Cricetulus griseus: one gene and its partner. The protein of the gene in region 2 purifies or fractionates together with the protein of the main gene of each other region. This does not show direct contact. Links are inferred from orthologs where the notes say so. Each region holds a gene or a part of one and is shown on either strand. Other genes may lie near its edges.

Region 1 (7,528 bases), on a different chromosome or scaffold from region 2:
AATGGAGGAGTGGATCTGAGGGAAAGGGGAGCTGGTGGGAGATGACAACTGGGAAGGAGAAGGAAGGAGAAGCAACTGAGGTTGGGATGTAATATATGAGAGAAGAATAAATTCTCTTGAAAAAAACAATTGATGAATTTAAATAAATAATAATTAAATGGTTGTTGTTCTTGACAAAATCTCAATGTTTGATTTTATCAGATATGCTGGGGTGAAAGCCTGCTAGCTCAGAGAGGCAGAGAAAGCACCAGCTGAGCCTCCTCCTCCACCAATGACCCAGAAAGAAATCTTCCTCAAACAAGACTCCTCCAACTCAATATCCCTCCCTTCTACTTCCTGTGTGTCTCTTTTTCTGTCCTGACTCCCTCTTACTATGTTTTTTTTTTTTTTTCTTCATTTCCTGTCAACCGGTTGCTTGCTCTCTTGGCCTCTGGTTGACTTTATTTAATCCTGTTTACAAAAAGCAGAAAACTCTTGGATTAAAGGTGTGTATTAGGGCTGAGCCACACCACAACTAGAAACGAGATTTTTGTCCCAGTAAATGATGCAATCTCAGTGTGATCAAATATCATGCAAAAAATGTTGCCTTAAAAAATAAATAAAAGGAATACTGCTAGGACTGCAGCTGTTGCTCAGTGTTTGGGGACATTCGTTGAAGATGTGTCACATTTGTTTATGCTGTAGGATATTTGTTTAATGATGCAAAGATGGGTTGCATTTGCCTAACTCTCTTAAGCTGTGTGAGACCTTGCCTGTCTAAAGCACCTGACTGGTGTAATAAGGCAGGAGAAAGGTAGGTGGAGCTGGCAGGCAGAGAGAATGAATAGGAGGAGAAATCTAGGAAGAGGAGGATTAAAAGGAGGAGAGGAGGGCCCCTCAAAGAGCCCAAAGGGGTAAAGAATAGAAACCAACTAGCCGGGCAGTGGTGGTGCATGCCTTTAGTCCCAGCACTCGGGAGGCAAAGGCAGGCTGATCTCTGTGAGTTCGAGACCAATCTGGTCTACAAGAGCTAGTTCCAGGACAGCCTCCAAAAAGCCACAGAGAAACCATGTCTTGAAAAACCAAAACAAACAAACAAAAAACCAACCAACTATACAGCTCAGTAGTTAAGAGCACTTAGTGGTATTGCAGAGGACCTGGGTTTACTTCCCAGCACTCACATAGTGGTTCACAACCTTCTTTAAATCCAGTTCTAGGGATATGAAGCCCTCTTCAGGCCTTTGTGTACACTATGCTTGTATATAGTACGCTTACATACATGCAGACAATACACCAAGGACTCTTAAGGGGCAACAGCCATAGGGGCCATGGTGGCGCACGCCTTTGATCCCAGTACTTGGGGGGCAGAGGCGAGTGGCTCTGATTTCAAGGCCAGCCTGGTCAACAGAGTGAGTTCCAGTATATCTAGGGCTACACAGGGAGATCCTGTCTCAAAAAAACAAAACAAACAAAAAGCCAGCAACAAAAGAGAAAGTAGATATGGCTTACTAAGGACTAGATAAGTGATGAATGGAAGAAATTATGGCCAAGAGGTGTGGGATTTCCGTTGGAGCAAATGATAGTTTTGTACTCAGAGAATATGCTTGTGAGATGGCTCAGCAGGTAAAGACACTTGCTGGCCAAACCTAACAACATGAATTCAATCCCCCAGATCCGCATGATGGAAGGAATGGACTCCCTCAAGTTCTGTGACCTTTACTTGCTCTGGCATACCCTGCCTCCAATAAATAAATAACACTTAGGTTTTAAAAACCATTTACTTTTTTTTTTTCTCATGGCTCTGGGGACTAAAAAATATTGCATTGTACATTTGGATGGGTGAATTGTATGGTATTTGAATATTTCAAGTAAAGTGTTCACTAGCCAAACATAGAGGTGCTTATCCGTAATCCCAGCACTTAGAAAGCTAAAGGCAGGATTGCTGTGAATTTTCAGCCAACCTGGGCCCTGCGATGGCTATTCTTAGTTTTCAACTTGACTACATCTGGAATTAACTAAAACTCAAGTGGCTGAGTACGCCTGTGAGGGATTTTTCTCTTAATTAGGTCTTTTGAACTGGGAAGACTGAACCTTTGTGGGGCGGGGGTTGAGTCCAGAATAGAAAGAACACTGAACCTGCTCCACCAAGCAACCCAAGGTTGGCTATTGGTCTCCTGCAATTGAGCCTCTACCGACCTTCCAAGTGGCCTGGAGACAGTACTTTAGGAAGAAGTAAACATATACGCCAGGGGATTTCTGTGTGCAGCCCTGGCTGTCCTGGAACTCGATCTGTAGACCAGGCTGGCCTCACAGAGATCTGCCTGCCTCTGCCTCCCAAGTGCTGAGATTGAAAGTAAGTCACCACTGCCTGGCAATAAGCATACTTTTTAAAAAGTAATTTTTTTCCCCTTAAAAAGAAAGGGGGGAGCAATTGAGGAAGACACCCAACAAGGCTTTCTGGCCTCCACATACACATAACACACACTCAGTCTCTTGGACTGGTTTGGAACAGGGAATCTTAGGGAAGTTAGGGCTTTGGTTAGGTGATGAAGACACATTTACAGTGCAAAATGCCAGTAAAAGCCCACTTCCCCACCAACAGTCCAGCTCCTAATAAAGGGTCTACTGGTGCAGGATCTCCAAGCACTAGGGTTCTACTCCTTACCGCTTATCCCTAAAGATTACTGACACCCTGCATAGGACAGACTTCTCTTCAAAAAGTTACTTCTGCGAGCCCAGAATAGAAAGGACACTGAACCTGCTCCACCGAGCAACCCAAGATTGGCTATTGGTCTCCTGCAACTGAACTTCTACCGACCTTCCAAGTGGCCTGGAGACAGTACTTTAGGAAGAAGTAAACATATGCGCCAGTGAATGAAACTCATCCAGCCTTTTCCCCACTTAAGCTCTGCCCAGTCTCTCCAAATAGAACAAGTCAGAGGAGACACGCCGGCACTAATTTTTAACCTTGGATCTTCACGGTCCCCGCCCTTCTTTCCCCTCAATCCCGGAGGAACCTAAGAGAATGGGAATTTCTCAAGTTGTTAGCACTTAATCGATGTTTACTGGCATAGGAACAAGAAAAAAAAATAAAAATACGGAAGATGACTTTACAAAAGGTGGAGAAACTTTAGCTTCACTACAGTTGTCCAAATATATCAAGAAATCTGCCATAGTAGTTGACGGCTGACTGGCCTTTGAAAAATGACCCTATTCGGTCGACTAGTGCTCAAGCCTGCCTGCCCTCAATTATAATGGCGGTGCTGTCCCCAGTTTAGCTTCTTGCCCCTAGGAATCATGGCCGCCTGGCGGTTTCACGTAGTTTCTCCTAACCCCGGAAGACCAGGGCCGGCGATTGGGCGGTGCCCAAGACACAGAGAAGAAGGCCTCTGACGGTTGGACAGAGCTGCGAAAGGCTGGTTTTAAAGAAGCCGGAGGTGGGAGCTGTCGAAAACCCGGGATCCTTGGAAAGCTGCGGTGAGCGGCGCAGGGAAAGGGTGGGAGGGGTAGGGGGACCCGGCTGTTGAGAGGGCAGAGAGGCCGGCGGAGAAGGAAACCTTTGAGCCATCTGGTCCCGGGCTCCGGAGAACTCGGGGCGGGGATCCAAGCAGGGCGGGGGCTTGGGGTGGGATGTTACCGGTGGGCTGGACCTTCCGGGATTGGCGTGAACGGGGTGTCGGGTTGACAGCCTACACCCCGGAATCCGAACTGAGTTCGTAGATGAGCTTGGGCCTCCATCCTGAGGAACTTTGTTAAGACGAAGCCCACAGTGGGAGGAGGCGAGTCGCGCAGGTTCTGATTGGAAGAACCGCGCTGTAGGATTCTTTCCACCGAGATCCAATTTAGGCGATCTGGTGGGAAGGGAGAGCTGTTAGTATGTGGAGTAATTCTTCTGGAGCCCATGCTTGGCGGGGCGAGGATCACAGAGGAATCTAGAGGAAACGGAGCCTCCCAGGACCGGGATCCCAGCGGATCCCTGAGAAGCTCAGGGAGGTATCTACAGGGACAAAAGTCCCAGGAGGCTCGATCCGTGGGAGAGCTGTGACCTCCGCGATCCAGTCTCGGCAGGTGCCAGGCAGGGCCCGAGTGATCAAGGCGGCTGCCACGGGAGGACCCGGCTCCGAACGGGCAGCTGGGGGCGCCCTTTCGAGGAAGGGCCTGTGGCCTACGGGGAGCCGCAGGCTGAACATGAAGGGCGGAGTCCCCGGAGAGGAGCTGGCCCTCACTCCCCACTCCCCTGTTCCCCCTTTACCCCAGGCCGCAGCCTGGGATCCCCCAGGGACTCCCCGGAACCATCGCTTTCCCCATGGACTTGCCTGGGGATTCCAGGTGAGAGCGCACCCCGCCTGCCTGCCTGTCTTGAGCCCGGGACACCGGGATCCTGGCGGCTGTACAGAGCCAACAACCGCCTCAGACAACTGTCTTCTTTCACCCTTCAGCCCTTCTAGACAGTCAAGCCTGTGCCGTCAGCCCCTAACTCGAGCACTATGGGAAGCCAAGAGCCCGAAAAGACCGAGGCTGCAGCCCCTAGGGACCCCTTCGTCCTTGGAAAAGGCCTCTCGGCGCGTCCTGGCCGTAGTCCTGGAAGATGTCGTGGCTACAAACAGGGTGAGCCCTTTAATTGAAAGACCCCTCCCCTTTCCCTACACCCCCCACCCCACCACCCGGCTCAGTACTAAAGTCAGACCAGATCTCTTAAACCAACGTTCAAAGCAGTCTCCTTAATGCAAGACTTCTGCATGGTTCTGGGGTAACTCCTATGTCTGTCCTTCCCGCACTCTCCACTGAGCTGGAACCATATTCTACTAAGTATGAGAAACTCTTTTGACTACCCTGCCCCCTGGGAAGTTTGCTGGTGGTGTCTTTGGCTACATGACAGAGATGAGGAAAATGTCACCTTTTTTCCATTTCTTCAGAACCTGGATTAGATTAGATTACTTACATTTCACACCTGTAGCTCCTGACTATAATACCTCACCCCTAATTCAGACCAAATCACTTCCTTTAGGAATCTGAGTGAATTCTAGCCAAAATCTGTCTCCTCTGTGAGTAGGGACACTGAGACACAGAAGATCCTGTCCACTTGGCCTCATTCCATTACTTTGCTCTTTGTTGTTGGTTTGTCTTACTAAGACAGGGTCTCACTTTTTAGCCCAGGCTGGCCTGGAACTCTCAATCCTTTTGTATTAGCCTTGCAAGTGCTGGGATTATAGGCATGAGCCCAGGTTGGCTTTCTTTTAACAACTCTTCCTCTCTTAGGTCCCCCTGGCATACCAAGAGGACACTGCCAGGCCAATGAATCGCAACAATCATCAGGACTCTGTCTACAGTCAGTCACCTGCGTTACCACCCCAGCAAGTCAAGTGGTCCTTCCAAGCCAGGTGAGTGTGACAGGGAAGGAAATAAGCTGAGAACACAGCTGAGCCCACTGATGCTCCTGTTCTTTCTCTAGACCTCCTGACCCACTGCATTTGTGCCGAGAACCCTTGAGCCGGACCCACCAGTCCTCTCCCACCTTGAAGATGAGATCAAGGACAGCCCCTGGCCCAGCAGAGAGCCCTTCACAAAAGATGGACCAGACCACCCAACCTACCCTGGTGGTGGTACTGGAAGACATTGCCAGCCCCAGACAACCAGCTGAGGTATAAGAAAGTATGGTGAAGATGTCTGGGTCCAGCTAAGGCAAGCATGAGGCTGGGGCGGATTTCTGTAAACGTAGGACAACAGAATTTTTTTTAATAACTTATTTATTTTTATTTTATGTACATTGATTGGTGTTTTGCCTGCGTGTATGTCTGTGTGAGGGCATTAGATCCCCTGAAGCAGTTGGGTGCTGGGAATTGAACGTGGGTCCTCTGAAAGAATAGCAGTGCCTCTTTTTTTGTTGTTGGGTTTTTTTTGTTTTGTTTTTTGGTTTTTTGAGACAGGGTTTCTCTGTGTAGCTTTGGAGCCTATCCTGGCACTCACTCTGGAGACCAGGCTGGCCTCGAACTCACAGAGATCCACCTGCCTCTGCCTCCCGAGTGCTGGAATTAAAGGCGTGCGCCACCAACGCTCGGCTATAGCAGTGCCTCTTAACCACTGAGCCATCTCTCTAGCCTGCCCCCCCTCCTTTTTTTTCTTCGAGATGGGGTTTTTCTACATAACAGCCCTGGCTGTCCTGGAACTTGTATTGTAACTAGGCTGGCCTCGAACTCAGAGAGATCCACCTGCCTCTGCCTCCTGAGCGCTGGGATTAAAGGTGTGCACTACCACCCCACCCCCACTTTTTGAGACAGGTTTCACTATGACCTATATCTTGCTATGTAGACCACGCTGACCCAATTTATAGCCTGCCTCTACCTTTCAAGTGTTGGGATAAAGGCTTGTGCCACCGCCCCAATGACAACATTTTATGTGATAGACACTACCTGAATAAAGGGTATAAGAAAAAAATCTTTTCTATACAGCCAAGTAGATATCTGGGGAATAAGTCAGGACATGGAGAGCTGGGGCAGCCAAAGATGGCTTCTTGCTTTTTCAAAACACCTCCTCTGTTTATATCCAGGGTTTTGCTGAAGATGGGCCCAACTTCATTGTTCCAGCACAAAGGTGAGAGGGCTAGGAGAAGGGATTATCAAAGCCGATTATCATCCAAATGTATAGAGCTGGGGGCATTGGGTTTACTTATCTAACCCTTCCTTATAGTACCTTCAGAAGCCTTAAGGGCCAGGGGAAGCACTGGCCAAAGAGGGATCTGGATTTGGAAGCACCACCAACTCTTACTTTGTCCTTTCACGCCAGAGCTGAGCCTATGACAAAAGTTCATCAGCCAGTGCCTACACCCAGAGAACTAGAACCTCCATTCCAACCGTCCACTCTGCCTGCTGACCCTCCAGAGAGCCCACTACCAGGTAAGGACTTGAATGAAGGAATGAGACTCAAAAGTCTCCAGGAGCCAACATGAGCCTGAAACATCAGGGGCAGAACTATGGGTGGGGCTTCACCCTGACCCAGGGCAGATCAGGGTGTACAAAATGTGATTTGGGGCTCAGGAACTTGAGAAGGTCTTATTTTGCTTTGCAATACTGGGGATCAAATCCAGGGCTTAGACGTGTTAGGCAATCCTAATTACAGAACTTTAGGAGCACAGTTACTCCTCTAGAGAGAAGTTAGTGTTTGGGGGAAGAGACTGAGGCTTGTGAGGTGGTGCTTAAATCACCTGGGGGTGAGGAATGCCCGCCTGTGACCCTCTCCTTTCCTCAGCCCCAGATCCTGTTCTGGAGGTCCCATTGACCCCAACACCGTCCAGCCTTTTACGCCCCCGTCTCAGTCCCTGGGGCTTGGCCCCTCTCTTCCGTTCCGTCCGATCCAAGCTTGAGAGCTTCGCTGACATCTTCCTCACGCCTAACAAAGCACCACAGCCTCCACCCCCATCACCTCCCATGAAATTGGAGTTGAAGATTGCTATCTCAGAGGCTGAGCAGTCCAGGGCTACTGAGAGAATTGCATCTGTCAGCCCCCGGCCCCCTATCCGCCAGTGGCGGACTCAGGACAATTCCCTAGCACC
Region 2 (7,610 bases):
GGACAAATGGCTGAGGTGCCTATTCTGCAGTGCAGGTCTATAATCTCACCAATCTGGGAGGCTGAGGTACAAGGCAGAGTTTAAGGCCAAGGAATTTGTGTGGAAGACCCTGACTCCAAAACAAGCAAAAAATAAAAAATAAAAAAAATAAAAATAAAAATAACTTCACCTGGGCTGGAGAGGCTGGGAGTAGTGCCCAGCTGGAGAGTGCTGGCTTGTTATGCACAAGGTTACAGATTCAGGACCAAGAAGAGAAAGAAGGAAGCCAGGTGTCCTGGCACTGGAGTAGATCCAAAATGATAATGTCTTAGGCTTGGGGTGCCATGGAGTGTATGTGTGTGCAGCCAGATCAAAAGGAGTGGGATCCCCTGCAACTGGGATTAATTACAGGATGTTGTGAACCACCATATGGGTGGTGGGAACAGAACTCAGATCCTCTGCAAGAGCAGCAAATGCCCTGGGTGTGTAAAGTGCTCTCTTGTCACGTGCAAGGCCCTGAGTTTGATCCCCAGCACCAATACAAGATGAAACAAAACTAAAAGCATTACTGATATTCTCATTTTCAAAGTTATCCAAAACACCACACTTCAAGAAAGAATAGGTTGATTGCTGCCTATTTTGGGAGGCTGAACCTAAATATTTTCAGGAAGAATTGGCCTCTTTTTTTTTTTTTTTTTTTTTTTTTTTTTTTTTTTTTTTGGTTTTTAGAGACAGGGTTTCTCTGTGGCTTTGGAGGCTGTCCTGGAACTAGCTCTTGTAAACCAGGCTGATCTCAAACTCACAGAGATCCACCTGCCTCTGCCTCCTGAGTGCTGGGATTAAAGGCGTTGCACCAACACCACCCGGCGAATTGGCCTCTTTTAACTAAATTTTTGTATGGTACTGCTGAGGTAAAATTTTTTTTCTCTCTTTTCTTTTTGTCTTAGTTTTTTGAACAGAAAAGTTCTCATTGTTTTGTTTTTTGAGGCAGGCTCCCACTCGGTAGCCTAGGCTGGCCAGGTATTCCCTACACAGCCTAAGCTGCTCTTAAATTTACTCCTGCCTTAGTCTTCTGAGTACTAGGATTAAGAGGCATGGTTCATCACACCTAGCCTTGGGAAGTTTGATCAGTTCTATTTTCTGTCAGGAAGGAGGACACCATCTCATTTATTGACTTAATCACTTACTCAATAATTTTTTTCCAACAGTGAGAGCCAAAATAGGGACATGTAAATATTAACAACAAATACCAAGGACTTTATTGGGTGTTGTGGATATAATGAGCCATATAAGGGCTCTTAGTGGAGTTTACAGTTCAAAAGTTAGCAGCAACCTAGCTGAAATCAGAACTACATACTTGCTTAAGAACAGTAACCACAGTTTTTGCTTAATTAGTTAGGTAAGGAGTGCTCATTGAGATGGAGGAGTCCCCATGAAAGTTATCCATTGGCACAGACAATAAAGGGACATTTTTGCATGTGGTGGCACATGCCTATAACTCCAGCACTTGGAGGCAGAAGACTCAGGACTTCAAGGTTAGCCAGGGTTCCCTTGAGACCCCGTGCACCCCCCACACAAATAAATAACAACCAAAACAAAAAACAAAAAAAGAGGGAACGAAGAAGACGAAGAAAAGGAGAGAGAAGGGAAAAGAAAATTCAGGAAGTGACCAGATGATGACTACCAAAAAATTAATTTAGTCAGGCAGTGGTGGCACATGCCTTTAATCCCAGCACTCAGGAGGCAGAGGCAGGTGGATCTCTATGAGTTTGAGGCCAGCCTGGTCTACAGAGTGAGTTCCAGGACAGCCAGTGCTGTTACACAAAGAAACCCTGTCTTGAGAAAACAAAAACAACAACAAAAAAAGAGGATTAATTTAGTACTTTCTGAAAGGGAAAGTGATTTCAAGGCTGAGGAGTAGTAACCTCATGGAGGTGGAGATAAAAGATTACAGAGACCGCTGGACATTACTGAAAGGTGGAGATTTGGTAAATCTCAGGGGACAAATATGTTAAGATTTTTGTTGTTCTTTTGTTTTTCAAGACAGGGTTTCTCTGTGTGCGCTCCTGGAAGTCGCTCTGTAGACTAAGCTGGCTTCAAACTCACAGAGATCCACCTGCCTCTGCCTCCCAAGCGCTGGGATTAAAGATTATTCTTTAGCCTGGTAGTAGTGGCACACGCCTTTAATCCCAGCGCTTGGGAGGCAGAGGCAGGTGGGACTCTGTAAGTTCGAGAAGAGCCTGGTCTACAAGACCTAGTTCCAGAACAGCCTCTAAAGCTACAGAGAAACCCTGTCTGGAAAAAAAAAAAAAATATATATATATATATATATGTATATGTATATGTATATAATATGTTATTATATATATATATATATATATATATACATATTAAACGCAGAGGATATTAATTACAGAACTGCCCAGAGGCAAATGGGGTTTTTTTGTTTGTTTGTTTTTTTGGGGTTTTTTTTGGGCGAGGCAAATGGTTTTCCTGACCAAATATCTAGGGGCTAGTTTCCAAACACACGTGTTCTGGGTAGACTGAGTAAGATGTTGTGGCCTGTCATCTGAAGTTTGAGGCAAAAGAAAGGCCACGAGTTCGAAACCTGCTGGTCTACATACCCCGTTATTAAAAAACAAACAAACAAGCCCCACCACCACTCAGCAAACTTTCTAGACTGTAGAGTTATAAACTACAGTCGACCCCGCCTTTCCAGTTTAAAGGAAACAACCCTAGAAAGTAGGGGGGCGGGGCGGGGGAGGGAAGAGACTCGCGCGGCACTCTGGGATTTGTAGTTTTGCACGGACTCAGAGTCCCATGATGCCGTGTGGCGGGTCACCGCGTCTGCGCGGTGCCGGCGGCGGGCAGCGCAGAGTGAGAAGCTCTTTTGTTCGGCTGAGGGGAGGGCCATTGGCGGGGCCTGGAGTAAGCGGCTTCACCGAGGCGTCCCATTGCCACCACAAGGCTTTATTGCTTCTCTGGGCGCTACTCCCTCGGGCCGCCCGACGCGACGCACTAGCAGCGGAGCACCGATTCTTGGCGGACTCTCGGGCGCTGCTAGGAGGTGAAGAGGCGGGGGGAGGGGGCGCGGCGACGGCGGGAGGCCGCGGGCGGTCGAGGGCCGCGAACGGAAGCCTGGAGCGAGCGGAGCCGGGGGCGCGGCCCGGTCCTTCACGTTCGCTTCCCGCGCATAGCTCGCGGGTTGCGGGAGCCTGGAGAGGGCGGGGCAGCGAATCCGGAGCCCGGGAGCCAAGTGGTTCCAGATGAGAGCCGAGCCTTCCGAGGGTTAGCTCTTCAGGAGCTGGACCGAGACGGATTGACTCGAGGGAGCGACTTTGGAGTTGGGCGGGAGAAGAAAAACTTTAGGACTTAGCGACATAAGAGGACAGGCTTGGTGCTTTGGGTATGCGTGGCACGGACCACGACTTCCTACGCTAGAGGTTTAGAAATGTAACCTGAGAAAGCGGACACGGTGGCGGGCGCGGGCAATCCCAGTAGCACTTGGAGGAGAGAAAGAAAAAAGAAAAGGAATTTGAGGATATTGAGTCCGACTGACAGTATCAGTAATTTCTCTTGCCAGGGTCACGAAGAAGTAACTTCCAGGACAAGGGTCTTGGGTTGCTCAGGGTGTGCTTATTGAGAAAAGATTTGTTGAACAAATCTGGGAGCGAGGGATCAGACGTTTTCTTGACCGGATTCTGTAAAGGAGTTCTTGGGATAAGTAGGGTAGAGGTCCAGAGAAGGATCGAGTGAAATGTGGAAGAGAAAAGGGGTATCTGGAAATGTAGCTTAGTTTGTAGAGTGTTTGCCTAGTGGGCTGCAAACCCTGGATTCAGTCTCCAGTGGCACATAAGCTGGTTGGGTGTGAAGGCATGGACATGTAATCTTAGCACCCTGGAGGATCAGAAGTGTAAGACCTTTCTTGGCTGCATTGGAAGTCAAGAAAGGGTGAAAGGGCCACTTTTTGCCTAGTAATGGGTCTTTTTTGTTTTGTTTTTGAGACAGGTTTTCTCTGTAGCTTTGTAGACCAGGCTGGCCTCACTCATAGAGATCCACCTACCTCTGGCCCCCTGAGTGCTGGGACTCAAGGCATTCACCACCACCGCCCTGCCATAGTGGGTCTTCATTGTGAGTTGGGAGACTAAGAATAGCATGTGTAAGGCAAGACTCCTCAGATAAAAAGTGTTTGCTCAATCTGAGCAAGCCTTGAGACCTCAGTTTAACTCCTGGAACTCAGGTAGTGATGGAAAGAAAGAACCCACTCCAGAAAATTGTCCTATGATCTACCCGTGAGGGTATGGCAGGGACCGGTAAAAGTAGGCTTCCACACACACAGTAGTGATATTTTTATTAGAAAATAGTTATCAGCTGGGTGGTGGTGGTGTTGCACACCTTTAGTCCCAGCACTCGGAGGCCAGAGGCAGGCGGATCTCTGTGAGTTTGAGGCCAGCCTGGTTTACAAAGCTACACAGAGAAACCCTATCTCAGAAAAAAAAGTTATGAAATATGGAACTCATTTTTCCCAAGTTATGTACCACTGAGTTATGTTCCAGTACCACAAAAAATATTTTTAAAAAATGAGTTTTACAGCTGGGCGGTGGTGGTGCACACCTTTAATTCCAGCACTCAGGAGGCTGTGACAGGTGGATCTCTGAGGGAAAACCTGTATCAAAAAAGCAAGAGAAAAGAAAAAAAAAGTTTTACTGGAACATAAGGTGTCCTCTCCAGTTTTGAATTAACAATCATGTCAGCAGCTTGGAATAGTTTCAAAAGATCTAAGGTTTGGGGATAGATGTGTGACTGTAATCAAGAAATTAGTGCCTGTGCCCCTCCTTGGAATGAATGTTGAGAAGATTCCAGTGGTGTGTGTTGGTGACTCCTATAATCCCAACCAGCACTTGGAAGGAGCAGGAGCACCATGAGTTCAGGACCTAGGGAAAGCACCCATATTGAAACCACTTTCTCAGTAAAGGTTTGTGGATAATTCTTCAGTCACTTCTGGTTGGTCACTTTTTTTTATAGATAGTAATAAAATTGGTAGAATTTTACCCTCCCTTCTAGGTATTTTTGTGATCAGTTAAAATACTGTGTGTGCACATGGGTGCATGCCATATCCCATGTATGGAGGTCAGGACAATTTTGGGAAGTCTGTTCTTCTACCATGGGCTCAGGAGATCAATCTCACCATCAGGCTTTGTATGGCAAGCAGTTTTACCTGCTAAACTATCTCTGAGGCCCTCTGAACAATTTTTTGAAATAAAAGGCTGTGTGTCCCTGGCTGTCCTGGAGTTTACCCTATAGTCCATGCTGGCCTCAAACTCAGAAATCTGCCTGCCTCTGCCCCACCCCTACCCAAGTGCTGGGAGTAAAGACATTTTCATTTATTTATGTCTTTATTGTTTTATATTTTGAGACAGGATCTGACTATCTCTGGATGACCTGGAACTTGATATATACACCAGGTTGGCCTCAAATTCAGAGACATGCCTGCCTGTGTCTCCTGAGTGCTGAAATTAAAGTTGTTCACCACCACACCGAGTTGGGTTTTGGAGGGTGGCGGTGTTTTAGTTTTTAAACGTGGGGGTAGGGAGTGTGCCATGATATGCTGTGGAGGTCAAAGAACAATCCGTTGTCCTTCTCTTCTACTGTTATGCTAATCTGTTGAGTGAACACAGGTATGTTGGGCTTGGTGAGACAAACACCTTTACCTACTGAACCAGCTTGATAGCCCCATTTTCTAAGTTTTGGGAATTAGACCTTGCAGAAGTTGGTATGTGTGGATTTTATTATCTATGTCCCAAGTTGGCTTGGAACTCACTATGGCCTAGATTGGCCTTGAAATGAGATTATAGATGTGTACCACCATATCTAGCCTACGGGTTTTATTTTTATATATATAGGTCTTTGCTTTTTGCATCTGAAGAATTGAATCCATGGCTTCTTACACATTAGGCAAGCACGAAGACTGAGCTGCATCCCAGTTTGGCAAGCTTTCTACTGGTGAACTACACTTTCTAGACAAAATTTGGGGACTGTTGGGCTGGTGTTTGTTTTCTTTCTTTTTCTGGTGGTGGTAGTTCACTGAATTGAACCCCAGAACCCATGTGCTCTGTCATTGTGCTTTACTAGCAGCCTTCTTAAAATCCTTAATGTCTTTTGTGAAAAGTTAAATAATTTCACAGCTGGGTATGGTGGCCTGTGCCTGTAATGCATCTCTGAAGGATTCGGAACAGGGAATATTGTGTCAAGTTATAAGAAAGTCTGGTCTAAATAATGATATCCATGCCCGTCTGGACTATAGAGTAAGACCCTTAAAGTTATCCTCTGTCCCTGTGAGTGCTCCCTACCACAAACAATAAATACAGGTGGCTGAGGCAAAAAGATGAATCACATACTTGAGGCCAACCTAGACTACAGAGTTGAGGCCCTGGCACAAAAAAAAAAAGAAAAAGAAAAAAGTCTGTGGGTTTGCTTCTGATTCAGTACCTACCAACTAATTCTGCTCGCACAGCCACACTCAAAAACAAAACTACTGCTCCTGCTCTGTTCATTCAGATTTGCATCTGGAAAGCATTTGCTTCACAAACAGCCAAATAAAAAGCCAACTAAAAGCGGTTTAGAAAGACTGGCACCTGAGTATACTTTGCTACTACAAATGCCTTCATTTGTATTTTGATTACTGGTGTGTAGTTGCCAGTTATAGCAGCAAAGATACCTTGTCCTTGTTTTCAGTTCAGGGTTTATTGATTGGTGACTCCCTAAAACGTGGCAGCTTTGTACTTTTATTTCCTGTTGTTTGATTTTGAAACATCTTTGTTGAGCATACAATGTTCATAATTTGCACAAGGCTCAGAATGCCAATTGACTGTCTGAGGGTAAATAGAAACAAAATGCTTTGGGGATCCCAAGGGAAGGAGAAATACTTGGTTAGGTTGGGTGGGCTATATGGGAGAAGTACCCTTTAAGCTATGTCTTGAAGAAACTGTAGGGTTCTGACTGAATACAATAGGGGATGGTAATAAGCTACCTTGAAAGTGCTGGAAATTGAACCCACATCCTCAGGAAGAGCAGCCAGTGATCTTAACTATTGAGCCATCTCTCCAGTCGTGAGATTTTGTTTTGTTTTTGGAATTACCATCTTTTTTCTTTTTTTGGTTTTTTCGAGACAGGGTTTCTCTGTGTAGCTTTGGAGCCTATCCTGACACTCCTCTGGAGACCAGGCTGGCCTCGAACTCACAGAGATCTGCCTGTCTCTGCCTCCCGAGTGCTGGGATTAAAGGCATGCGCCGCCAACGCCCAGTTGGAATTACTATCTCTTTGTGGGTTTTGTGCACATGAGGGATCCTGCAGAGGCCAGGAAAAGGATCCCCTAGAGCTGGAGTTGCACATAAAATTGAGTCACTTCACAATTGTGCTTGGAATGAAACCAAGCAAAAGCTCTTAATTGCTGAGCTATCTCTCCCACCCCAGTATTGGTTGTTATGCAAAAGTCTGTTTTGTACTTGTTAAAAATTCAAGCATCTGCCAGGATGTGGTGTGGTATCCCCCATCTTTAATCCTAGGACTAAGGAATAGAGGCAGACACATCTCTGAGTTTGAGGCCAGCCTGATCTACAGTTTCAGGATAG

The links. The genes of interacting proteins can lie anywhere in the genome.
Region 1: the proteins of Cbx1 (region 2) and Prr14 purify together in Homo sapiens (affinity purification with mass spectrometry; 3 studies listed by BioGRID and IntAct, counting the BioPlex papers as one, with this or other methods). This does not show direct contact. The link is inferred for Cricetulus griseus from reciprocal best matches to the Homo sapiens genes CBX1 and PRR14.

Annotation. Positions count from the first base shown.
Region 1 is NC_048596.1:73,286,435-73,293,962, reverse strand, and holds the start of Prr14 (proline-rich protein 14), read left to right. Parts: upstream 1-3,607; 5' UTR 3,608-3,880; coding exon 3,881-3,972; exon of another isoform or gene 3,973-4,047; intron 4,048-4,236; coding exon 4,237-4,308; intron 4,309-4,418; coding exon 4,419-4,587; intron 4,588-5,238; coding exon 5,239-5,360; intron 5,361-5,431; coding exon 5,432-5,621; intron 5,622-6,526; coding exon 6,527-6,570; intron 6,571-6,666; coding exon 6,667-6,872; intron 6,873-7,224; coding exon 7,225-7,528. UniProt on the Homo sapiens protein: Functions in tethering peripheral heterochromatin to the nuclear lamina during interphase, possibly through the interaction with heterochromatin protein CBX5/HP1 alpha. Might play a role in reattaching heterochromatin to the nuclear lamina at mitotic exit.
Region 2 is NC_048600.1:109,938,358-109,945,967, forward strand, and holds the start of Cbx1 (chromobox protein homolog 1), read left to right. Parts: upstream 1-2,867; 5' UTR 2,868-3,046; intron 3,047-7,610. UniProt on the Homo sapiens protein: Component of heterochromatin. Recognizes and binds histone H3 tails methylated at 'Lys-9', leading to epigenetic repression. Interaction with lamin B receptor (LBR) can contribute to the association of the heterochromatin with the inner nuclear membrane.